Oryza sativa Japonica Group: one gene and its partner. Each later gene encodes a partner of the first gene's protein in a complex. Links are inferred from orthologs where the notes say so. Each region holds a gene or a part of one and is shown on either strand. Other genes may lie near its edges.

What was found. Proteins that work in one complex are often made in the same cells at the same time.
Region 2: the proteins of petB (region 1) and uncharacterized protein are in contact, whole or in part, in a cryo-EM structure (PDB 9ES7), measured with the Spinacia oleracea proteins. The link is inferred for Oryza sativa Japonica Group from reciprocal best matches to the Arabidopsis thaliana genes petB and AT3G47070. Residues at the interface, in NP_054964.1 of Spinacia oleracea: Pro28, His29, Pro214, Leu215; in XP_056683494.1 of Spinacia oleracea: Lys44, Asp46, Gln47, Phe48, Tyr49, Glu50, Leu55.

What each region holds. Positions count from the first base shown.
Region 1 is NC_001320.1:68,553-73,993, forward strand, and holds petB (cytochrome b6), read left to right. Parts: upstream 1-2,679; coding exon 2,680-2,685; intron 2,686-3,496; coding exon 3,497-4,138; downstream 4,139-5,441. Other genes in the region: psbB (photosystem II 47 kDa protein), read left to right, coding at 247-1,773; psbT (photosystem II protein T), read left to right, coding at 1,938-2,045; psbN (photosystem II protein N), read right to left, coding at 2,094-2,225; psbH (photosystem II protein H), read left to right, coding at 2,329-2,550; petD (cytochrome b6/f complex subunit IV), read left to right, coding at 4,331-4,338, 5,084-5,441. UniProt on the Arabidopsis thaliana protein: Component of the cytochrome b6-f complex, which mediates electron transfer between photosystem II (PSII) and photosystem I (PSI), cyclic electron flow around PSI, and state transitions.
Region 2 is NC_089037.1:35,677,118-35,683,885, forward strand, and holds uncharacterized protein, read left to right. Parts: upstream 1-3,079; 5' UTR 3,080-3,153; coding exon 3,154-3,513; 3' UTR 3,514-3,793; downstream 3,794-6,768. Other genes in the region: uncharacterized protein, read right to left, coding at 1-517, 621-635; GDP-mannose transporter GONST1, read right to left, coding at 4,474-4,517, 4,609-4,706, 4,850-4,966, 5,350-5,504, 5,693-5,791, 5,936-6,065, 6,199-6,338, 6,522-6,711.

The DNA.
Region 1 (5,441 bases):
TCGTTTTTTCCAAATAAGCCAAGCTGCCCATTGCATATTGGCACTTATCGAGTATAGAAGATCTGCTTCTCTTTCTTCTTACGAACAGAATTGGCTTCTTATTTTTAATGGAATGAAATAAATATTCACGCTTTCTGACACAGAATCCCCTAGAAGGGTTAGGTACATAGGATATGGATAGTCTTTGCCAATGCGATAAAATAAAGTGACATCGTGTCTATTTTTCTTTGCTAAAGGGGTATTTCCATGGGTTTGCCTTGGTATCGTGTTCATACTGTCGTATTGAATGATCCGGGTCGATTGCTTTCGGTGCATATAATGCACACAGCTCTAGTTTCTGGTTGGGCTGGCTCGATGGCTTTATACGAATTAGCGGTTTTTGATCCCTCTGATCCTGTTCTGGATCCAATGTGGAGACAAGGTATGTTCGTCATTCCTTTCATGACTCGTTTAGGAATAACCAATTCGTGGGGTGGTTGGAGTATTTCAGGAGGAACTGTAACGAATCCGGGTATTTGGAGTTATGAAGGCGTGGCAGGGGCGCATATTGTGTTTTCTGGCTTGTGTTTCTTGGCAGCTATCTGGCATTGGGTATATTGGGACCTCGAAATATTCTGTGATGAGCGGACGGGAAAACCTTCTTTGGATTTGCCCAAGATCTTTGGAATTCATTTATTTCTTGCAGGGGTGGCTTGCTTTGGCTTTGGCGCATTTCATGTAACTGGTTTGTATGGTCCTGGGATATGGGTGTCTGATCCTTATGGACTAACTGGAAAAGTACAAGCTGTAAATCCGGCGTGGGGTGCAGAAGGTTTTGATCCTTTTGTTCCGGGGGGAATAGCTTCTCATCATATTGCTGCGGGTACATTGGGCATATTAGCGGGCCTATTCCATCTTAGTGTCCGTCCACCTCAACGTCTATACAAAGGATTACGTATGGGCAATATTGAAACTGTACTTTCCAGTAGTATCGCTGCTGTTTTTTTTGCAGCTTTCGTAGTTGCCGGAACTATGTGGTATGGGTCAGCAACTACCCCAATTGAATTGTTTGGGCCTACTCGTTATCAGTGGGATCAGGGATACTTTCAGCAAGAAATATATCGAAGAGTTAGTGATGGGTTAGCCGAAAATCTCAGTTTATCAGAAGCTTGGTCTAAAATTCCCGAAAAATTAGCCTTTTATGATTATATTGGTAATAATCCGGCAAAGGGGGGATTATTCAGAGCAGGCTCAATGGACAATGGGGATGGAATAGCTGTTGGATGGTTAGGACATCCTATCTTTAGAGATAAAGAAGGGCGCGAACTTTTTGTACGCCGTATGCCTACTTTTTTTGAAACATTTCCGGTTGTTTTGGTAGATGAAGAGGGAATTGTGAGAGCGGACGTTCCTTTTAGAAGAGCAGAATCCAAATATAGTGTTGAACAAGTAGGCGTAACGGTGGAGTTCTATGGTGGCGAACTTAATGGAGTAAGTTATTCTGATCCTGCTACTGTAAAAAAATATGCGAGGCGTTCCCAATTAGGGGAAATTTTTGAATTAGATCGGGCTACTTTGAAATCAGATGGTGTTTTTCGCAGCAGTCCAAGGGGTTGGTTCACTTTTGGTCATGCTACCTTTGCTTTGCTCTTCTTTTTCGGACACATTTGGCATGGGGCTAGAACCTTGTTCGCAGATGTTTTTGCTGGTATTGATCCAGACTTAGATGCTCAAGTGGAATTTGGAGCAATCCAAAAACGTGGAGATCCAACTACAGGGAGACAGCCAGTCTGAGGCCGCATTGCTTTGGTATCTTTCACCTCTCTTTTTTGATTTGACATGGGAAACATCTCCCATCCCTTCTTTGACTCTTTTTCCTTTTTTATACGGGAAATGATCCCAAATGACAAATGAATAGGTGTGGAAGTTATAATTGTAAATAAACCACGATCGAATCTATGGAAGCATTGGTTTATACGTTCCTTTTAGTTTCGACTTTAGGGATAATTTTTTTCGCTATCTTCTTCCGAGAACCACCTAAGGTTCCGACTAAAAAAGTGAAATAATTTAATTGAAGTAAGAAGTCTCCCCATCTGGGAGACTTCTTACTTCAATTAGTCCCCGTGTTCTTCGAATGGATCTCTTAATTGTTGAGAGGGTTGCCCAAACGCGGTATATAAGGCATACCCAGTAAAGCTTACAAGTAAACCAGATATGGAGATGGCGACTAAAGTTGCTGTTTCCATTTTTATAGAATTTCAAGATTACAATGGATCTACGAAAAGATCGTGTATTTACAACTACAACGGAATAGTATACAAAGTCAACACAAATCATTAAATGGAATTTATGGCTACACAAACCGTTGAAGATAGTTCTAGACCTGGACCAAGACAAACTCGCGTAGGTAATTTATTGAAACCCTTGAATTCGGAATATGGGAAAGTAGCTCCGGGTTGGGGGACTACTCCTTTTATGGGGGTCGCAATGGCTTTATTCGCGGTATTCCTATCTATTATTTTAGAAATTTATAATTCTTCCGTTTTACTGGACGGAATTTTAATGAATTAGGTTTCTACTAACGAAAACTACGAAGTCATAGTTTTTCCATCCAAAAGAGCCTTTCTACTTTAAGCTCTACATTTCTAGACATTCTGGTAGTTCGACCGTGGAATTTTTTGGTTTCGGTATCTCTGGAATATGAGTGTGTGACTTGTTAGAATTTGCTCCTATTGATAATACATAGAAAGCACCTGTTATCTCTATCAAGATGATTCTAATTCGTCGGATATTATTTATTCTAGTATCTGGAACACGAAATAGATAGAGTGGATCAAGAAAAAAAAATGAAACTATGATTCATATTAACTATTCAGACCTCGCAACCAGACTGAAAAAAATTCAAGTAGTTCTTAATAAAAATAAAAAAAGAAAATTTCTTCCTTCCAATTTTGTTTGCCCAAAAAACAACTTTTTTTCTCTCGATTTTGTCGAGTCATTACACCGATTCAATAAATGATCATCAAGCGGTTCTTATTCGAAGAACCCTTGCCTTTTGTTTAGCTTGAGACTCAATCATCGTGGCTCTAGTATGAATCTAAGGTTTTAATTGAACTGATTCATAGGATCGCAACAAGATAATTTCTACCAGAAAACTACTCCAATTTTTGCTTTATTTATTTATCTAGTAAAACAAGAGTAAATCTGCATTACGCACAAAAAAAAGAAATCCAAAATAGGGAAGAGAAAAATCAAGAGGCCTCCTAATGATCAACATTTGGGAAAGAAAGATAGACGAGCCAACTTGAGATTTTTGGCATTATCATCACAAAGAAGAAATTCTGATTTTTCTTATTTCATATCTTCAAGGCAAATCGACCCAACCCAGTGCTGATGAAGTTTTGAACCTTTTTTCTAATATCCGTTGAAAATTTGTGTGTTTCTGTTTGAGCCGTACGAGATGAAATTCTCATATACGGTTCTCGGAGGGGGGTTCGGGTTAGTTACCTATCTCAATAAAGTATATGATTGGTTTGAGGAACGTCTTGAGATTCAGGCAATTGCAGATGATATAACTAGTAAATATGTTCCTCCTCATGTCAACATATTTTATTGTTTAGGGGGAATTACACTTACTTGTTTTCTAGTACAAGTTGCTACCGGTTTTGCTATGACTTTTTACTATCGCCCAACCGTTACAGAGGCTTTTTCCTCGGTTCAATACATAATGACCGAGGCCAACTTTGGTTGGTTAATCCGATCAGTTCATCGATGGTCAGCAAGTATGATGGTTCTAATGATGATCCTGCACGTATTTCGTGTGTATCTCACAGGTGGGTTTAAAAAACCCCGCGAATTAACTTGGGTCACTGGTGTGGTTTTAGCTGTATTAACTGCATCGTTTGGTGTAACTGGTTATTCTTTACCTTGGGATCAAATTGGTTATTGGGCAGTCAAAATTGTGACAGGTGTGCCTGACGCGATTCCGGTAATAGGATCACCTTTAGTGGAGTTATTACGTGGAAGTGCTAGTGTGGGTCAATCCACTTTGACTCGTTTTTATAGTTTACATACCTTTGTACTTCCTCTGCTTACTGCCGTATTTATGTTAATGCACTTTCTAATGATACGTAAGCAAGGTATTTCGGGCCCTTTATAAGGAAGGCATCTCATAGAGAGTTCTAATTCTCATATATCATATCGGGTAGGTTGTGGTATTTCATTGCTACAAACATGGGTTATTCTAAAATAAGACATGTCATTTAGATACTTCTCTTCAACTCCGAACTATTGTGATACAAATAATACAAATAGATTGAAGTTAATTTTACGAAAGAAAAGAAGGCGGATTATGGGAGTGTGCGACTTGAATTATTGATTGGCCATGCAGATAGAGAGTTGGATCTGCCACATTAGAATTCACGACCAAAGTGTCTCCATATCCAATCAACACGTAAGTCCCCTGTCTAGTAAGGATAGGCTGGTTCACTTGAGAGAATATTTTCTATGATCATACCTCAACCATGTCATCCATGAAGAGGCTCCGTAAGATCCCATAGAGTAGAAATGAATAAGTCATGTGACATGATCCAATTCTCTATTTATTACACTTACTTTTTATTATAGTATGGAAATGCATTCATTTTCTTTGCATCGATTGCGATCTGCAATACTATCGGAGTAAAAGAAGGGATCTAAGGAAGAACGTAGGCTAAACTTTTTGATTTTTTATTAGTAACAAGTAAATACTTTGTTTGGACGTAAGAAACTTGCAATATTGGGGGGGATAAATACCAACTAATCAAGAGACGCGAGACAATCCACAAAGCAATTGATCATGATCAAATTTGTAAGCCCACTTGGATATTGAGCATTTACCCATAAGAGTAGGATTCTTTTCAATGAATAGTTGTAGGTGCAACTTCGGAAAATAGAATCTGATAAAGCTTTTCTTACTTAGAGCCATTGAGCCATTATATACCTTATTCTATTATGGATCTTTCTACGGTTTTATTTCTTTCATTCTTGCTCGAGCCGGATGATGAAAAATTCTCATGTCCGGTTCCTTTGGGGGCTGGATCTTAAAGAATTCACCTATCCCAATAACAAAGAAACCTGACTTAAACGATCCTGTATTAAGAGCAAAATTAGCTAAAGGGATGGGACATAATTATTACGGGGAACCCGCGTGGCCCAACGATCTTTTATATATTTTTCCAGTAGTAATTCTAGGTACTATTGCATGTAATGTAGGTTTAGCGGTTCTCGAGCCGTCAATGATTGGTGAACCGGCGGATCCGTTTGCAACTCCTCTGGAAATATTACCCGAGTGGTACTTCTTTCCCGTGTTTCAAATACTCCGTACAGTACCTAATAAGTTATTGGGCGTTCTCTTAATGGTTTCTGTGCCGACGGGCTTATTGACAGTACCTTTTCTAGAGAATGTCAATAAATTCCAAAAT
Region 2 (6,768 bases), on another chromosome or scaffold:
TAAGTGAAGAGTTACCTAAACCAACAGGGTACTTCCTGAAAGTACTTGAAGTACTATCTTTCTCATATCGATAATTTGGGGAACAATTCACATCATAGGGGTGCTTCTCAAACAAAGGATTATTTATCTCTAGCGAGTTCAAGCGATCAAAACCATCTTGGTTCACTACATTGTTATCAAATGTTTCATCGCCGTAGGGAGACTTTGATGGCATAAGCTTTCTTAGCTTTAATGCACTTCGCTTCAAGCTTGGCAACCCTTTAGGGAAATTATGTGATCTCTCTTTCGTGACGGCCTCTTGTGGTTCCTCTGACACTTCGAATACATCCTTGAATTCCTGGTGCTGATTGTGGGCTACATAAGCAGGTGGCAACACATCAAGTCCCATCAGTTTTGCAATCACACTAGGTGATGGTCTCCTGTGCTCCAATTCCTTCAACTGATCCTTCCCGACAAGTGTTTTGGTTGGACAGCTGTTATTTCTTCGTGGCCTGCACTCCTTGTACCGATGCTCAAGCTACAAAAGTTATTAAAAACAAAAAAGGATACATATTTCTCAATCTTTACTTTTGACATTTCATCGCAAGAGCAATACAATGAAAGAGAAAGAATTAACTCACTGAAATCTGTTCCATCTTGGAGATTACTGTATGGAGGATCAGTTGAGATAAAATGTTGCTACATCATCCCACAGGTGAAGAGAACTTCTGCCTACACATATTCATGGAACATTTATAAAGTTATGGGGGTTCTATACTTCTATACAGAGAGAAAACTAATAAATGCGCATAAATTTTCCCTTAACTAATGAATGCTCGCAGAGAGCATCTTGTGCTGAACTGAACATCACAAATCACAACACAACAAACTGTCCCAAGAACATAGAGCGCACTAGATCTCCAAGTACAACGCCAATATTTCTTGCCTAAAGCAATTCAATTAAATCAGTAGTACTAGAACAAAAAAAATAATAATAATATCATCAAAATAATAATAATATCCCATAATGGATAATGCATACCATAACAAAGTCCTCAAGATACACATAGACCCACCCAACTATTGCATTTAAACGCACTTTCTACGCAATACGCATCAAAAGGCCAGGGACGGACCTAACGTGGGGCTCCCCAATATTATTATTATTATGATTATTATATCTTTTGGGAAACAAAGTGCTACTATTCCTAGACAGGTTAAGGCAAAGGAGGAAAAAAGAAAAAAGCTTCCAGATCCAGAGGAGATGCAGAGGTTAATTTAAACAGGGAAAAAAAAGGTTAGGACCGTGTAGAAAGAGAGATGAGAAAGAGGATGCCTCACGCGTGGGTGCTCAATGCAGCGGCGGAAGAAGATGCCGCCGCCAGTCGTCGGAGGGAGATCGGCGCAGGCGGCGGCGGGCGAGTCAAAATCGCCAGCCGACGTGGGGACGGGAGGATCCTCGTCGAGTCGGGAGGGGAGGAGAGGGGAGTAGTGAGTGAGTGTTGTTGGCGGTCCCGGTATTCATTCAATTACGGTCTGAAAAAATTAATGATTCAGGCCGTGATCACTCATAATTACGGACGGGATTTGGTGGTAGCACTCGTACCAGTAGCTGCCCAATTGCATTAATGGGTAAAAATAAATTCATCATTTTCCTTTCTGGCAGAAGGGTAGGAACTAGGAAGACAAGATGGGCCTTAGAATACCATTCCAGAAAGTATATTTTGTCTCCCTTAACTATAGCCCGGGTAAGATTAATGTTCCCCAACCATAAAACCAGGTATTTCATGCTTCCAATTAGTGAAACTGGTGCAAAAGGAGTTTTGGAGGCAGTTTCATCTTACATGGCTTGTTGACTGTGGCGGAGCCAGAATAAAATTATAGCGGGGCTAAACCAAAGTGGCCAATAAAAATTGAAACATGTCTCATATAAATTGGCTATATTTCTAATACATAGTATAAATATATAGATTAGAATTTTAGGAATATTATGGGGGCTCTAATGGTATATTAGGGGTAGGGGGTTCTAAAGACCCCCCCCCCCCAGCCCCCACGTTGTCTCTGCCGCTGCTTGTTGACTTGATCCACTCGGCTGAGTCAGCATGTGGGCTTACGTCTCACCCGTTTTGTGTTTAGAGGGCAAGAATCATACTCAGATCATAGTCGAGAGAGCAAATTAATGTCTCTCAATCACAAAACCGAATATTTCACGATCCCAACTAATGAAACCGGTGCAAAAGGAGTTTTTTTTTGAGAGCTCTCCACTTTGAGAACAAGCTGTAGTAACTGAACATACGTGCAAACGCACTCCACCACGCACACACACTCCACACACGCACCCCTACACGCATGCTAGACCTATCAACTATACACACATGTGCTAATGAGATACACAAAGCTACCTAAGGACCTTGTGCGTGACGAGGACGTCACTCTATTATTGTGGCGTTGGCACGGGAGAGCTGGAAATTTATTTGGGAATAAATCCCGGTGAGACGCGCGGGTGATGATCCCAGGGATCGAACCCGCACGGGCTGCTCGCTCACCAGCAATGCTAGCCAACCGAGCAACGCTCGGTTCTCAGTGCAAAAGGAGTTTTGGGGGCGGTTTCATCCGATATGGCTCGTTGACTTGATCCACTTAGCTGAGTTAGCACGTGGACTCACGTCTCACCCATTTTTGCGCTTAGATGGGAAACAATCATACTCGGATCATAGTTGAGAGAGTCAAAGTATACTTTATATTTCCTACCATCCCGTCAGGGGACCCAAAACACCCGGCCCCTCCGACTAGATGTGGCCCAACCCAACTCGTGGCCACGTCTCGCCGTGCATTTCAGCCGCTCTTGCCGTGCCACGCCCACTCCCACCCATTTCACAGGACGCGCGCGGCGCGCAACGGCTGGCCTCTCGCGCGACGCGAGGCGCGCGCCGATGCCAACTTGGCGAGGCGAGCAACGGGGCGCGTGGAGTTGGTGGCAATGGAGGCGTACGCGTGGTGTGGATAAGCCGCTTGTGGCCGCCTCACACACCCGCTCTCCTCCACCACACGCCGCCCAATCACCACCTCATATACCTCGCGATCCCTCTCACCGCCGATCGATCGAGACGACGCATCACCCATCTCATTCTCATCATCGTCGCGTGAGAGAGAGCTAGAGCTGAGCTAAGAATCATGGCTTCGGTGGGATTCGGGAGCAGAGTGGCGGCGGCGGGCGTGGCGCCGTCGGCGTCGTCGTCGTCGGCTGGGCGGAGGCGGCCGTCGCGGGTGGCGATGGCGGTCGGCGCCACGAGGGGGAAGCCGGCGCCGGCGGAGGAGGAGAAGAGCCTCGCCGACTTCATCTTCGGCTTCATCTTCAAGAAGGACCAGCTCGTCGAGACCGACCCGCTGCTCAACAAGGTCGACGGCGCGCCGCCCTCCGGCTCCACTGTCTCCCGGAAGGCCCCCGCCAAGAAGCCCGCGGCGAGCGCCGCCGACGAGGAAGGCGGCGGCGGCGGCTTCAACCTCGGCGCCCTCTTCGCCAAGAAAGGCTGAAGAATCCTTTCGAATTCTACGTACGTATATACTCCAACGCAGAGCGTCAGCTTGCCTACACGATCGATGTATTACCCTCCTCCTCATCAAACAGTTTGATTCAAACTCCAAGCTTAATTTGGAGGATGATTTGCGTATACGTAGCAACATGTGAGGTGTGACTCAAAAGTGATTAATTTTTTATGTGAAAATGTGGTTTATATACTTCATACAACACACATCATTTGTTATTTCTTTTCAACTCAACATGGATGAATGGATTAAAAGGGTTAAGCCTGCTGATCATGTTGTGTTTTGTCTCACAAAGCATATGGTAAAAGATTGTGTATGTTAACTTAGTGCCTACGTGTGAGGTGTGGTCCAAAGTGATTTTTGACGTGATAATGTGGTATACTACATCATTTCTTGTTCTTTCCAATTCAGTGTGAGGAGGATTAAAAGGGTTAAACCTGAATACCTGATGACATTGTTTTTTCTTATCTTACATACATATACTCCAATTTGGAGTGAACTTTTCTGTCAAGAAAAAAAATAGCAACTTTAGGTGTTGGTATGAAACTATGAATCAAATAATCTGGAGAGTTTTGCACAAAGATTGGCAGCCTCATCTTCACATGATCCCTCCGGCCGGCCTAGAGCCCGCTTGATTGGCGACTCAGATTGGAAGCACCAAGCCTTTTCTTTTATTTTGCACAATTTTTTTCTGTTCAACTTCATGAGCAGACAGATTGCAGAGAGTTCCAACCGGTGGCTAGTTTTGCAGAATGCTTTCTGCCTCACCACAATTATAGACCAAAACTGAACGCATACACAAAGTGTGTAACCTTATGAACAAGGACTATGCACAAAACCCATGAATGATCCACCAAAAAACAATTGAACATTGACCATATCTCTTTACAGTATATAATTGTTGATAGGTAAAGCGGCAGTGAGACCTCTTCATGTCATAAATACACATTAGGACATTTTTGCCTTTGCAAAGAATATCCCAGCAAAAAGACCTGTTAAGTACAATCAGGAGACATGTTATGTATACACACATTCATAAAGAAAATTAGACAGCAATTCAGCAGTGATGAAGCAAGTACTCACCAAAAATTATGCTAAACAAATTTTCAACACTCACTGGTACGTTGAAAAGCAAGATACCAGCCACCGAAATAGGTATCTTGTTCAGTGAACCAACAAGGCTGAAAACGGAAACCAAATAAAAAAAAATATCAACATGTAGTCAACTTTGCTGGAGTGACAACTATGCAAATATTATTTTAATGCAAATGCAAACATGTTTTATTGGCAACTTGAAGGAAGAGAGTTAGTAGTATCATATCACCTGTAAGTTGTTGGGCCAGTCCGATGTAAAAACCACACAGATGAGAAGCTAATTGCCAGACCTAGCAAACCACTAGCTGTTGCAAAAGCCCAGAACATAGGATCTCTAGTAACTTCACTGCAGATGAGAGGAAAACATCGTGTATAAGTACAAATGGAGAAGCATGGACAACAACCAATTCTGCCTTTGCAGCAACAGTTACAGGAGAAATCTAACATCAGGGTTCTCCCCTGATGTATTCCCGTTAAAAAACAACATGTGGAAACAACGAAAAGTTCATTGATCATCTAACTTCATATTCAAGTTGATTGCAATAGGCTGAAGCTTCATTTATGAGCAAAAACAGAACATCTTATTTATCGAAACGAAGCCAAGTTTAGAAGCAGAGTAGATGTACAGCAAGATTTTCATATGTCCTTTTGTGTTACTTGCATAACTGGTAAATTTTAGGGCAGATTACTTTTGAATGGTTAGGTTGGGAGTGAAGATTGAGTTCTTACACTTCATAAACGTATTGCCATTCGTCGAAGATAACAATCAAAATGAGTGCTAAAGGTATGGAGAGCGCATTGTTAAGTAACACCATAGAAACTTCATTGAGGGAACCGGATTTTGTTGATTGTTTGGCTACATCCATCACACGTCTTAGTGTAAGCTGTAACAAGAAGTAGGAAAATTATGTACAACCCATGTGACTAGTAGGAGGAACAAGAGAACTGAAGGATTAGAATACTTCCCAAAAAAAATCTGCTAAGAAGTTCATCAATATATTAATTGTAAAGAGGCTTGCAAAGTTGCAATATACTGTGGATGCAAAAACTATGATCAGAAAATTCGACTAACCGAGTAGCCTGCTGTCAGAAAGCAATTGAAAAGTTGCCACATGTAGCCAACCGGATGGAAAGAAAGATCTGTAATCCCCCCACATACAGCTGATATAACCTGCATAGCACAACAGAGATAAGCACCTGCTCAGTTCAACAACTATGCTGTTAAGGTGTAAAGTTCTTAATACAGGCCAACAATTACATAATTAGCTAATATTTGGAAGTAAACAAGAGGCACGTGGAGCAGAAAAGGACATACCATTAGACACAAGGCAGCCCAAACCTTTTTGTTCTGACCCTTCCTGAAAATATATATTTCTCCAACAGCTGTCAAAATGTTTGTCATGTTCTTTAATATCGTCACCATTGCAACATTTATGTACTTCAAACTGAAAAAACAGGAATATATAGCTCTGTTATACTTTGTGCAATATCATAAAAATAAAGTTCATTTGGATTTTGGATATTGGAGCTTTAGGGTGATGGACCGATTGTCATATATCATGTCGAAGAATTACGTACCTGTACATTCCAGTTACTAACATCCCAACAAAAATAAGATTCACTGGAATCCAGACTTTAATCAACTTCCATGTAAGTTTCTCCGTTGAAATCACACCAAAGAGCTCAAGTACCAGAAGAATTATCACGCTTATAAGATTCTGAGCCACAAAAACAGCCATGATCAGATCGATGATAGAACTTGTTTGCCAATGCAACCATAACATCACAAATGCATATGAATGCCGTTATGTGTAAGCCACTGAACTAATAACCAACTCACTGTGAATTTGTGATTACTTCAATGTCGGTTTGTGATTACGTCAGAGTGAATTTGTGATTACCTGGTACAGCATAAGCGATATGCCAGCATTGAAATTATAGTTGGAGAGTACAACTTTGTTGAGCAATATCATACTGCAAGAGGCAATACAGTAACAAATCCCCGAGAGTAGAGGTCCAGTTTTGTTTCCCCACTTGCTTTGCTGCTTCTGAATTAAGCTGTCAAAAACGTCAGAAGTCTTCCTCGACAACCTGGAAAATAGCATTCAAAACAATCCACCAGTCAATTTCTCCTTCCTTCCATATGAA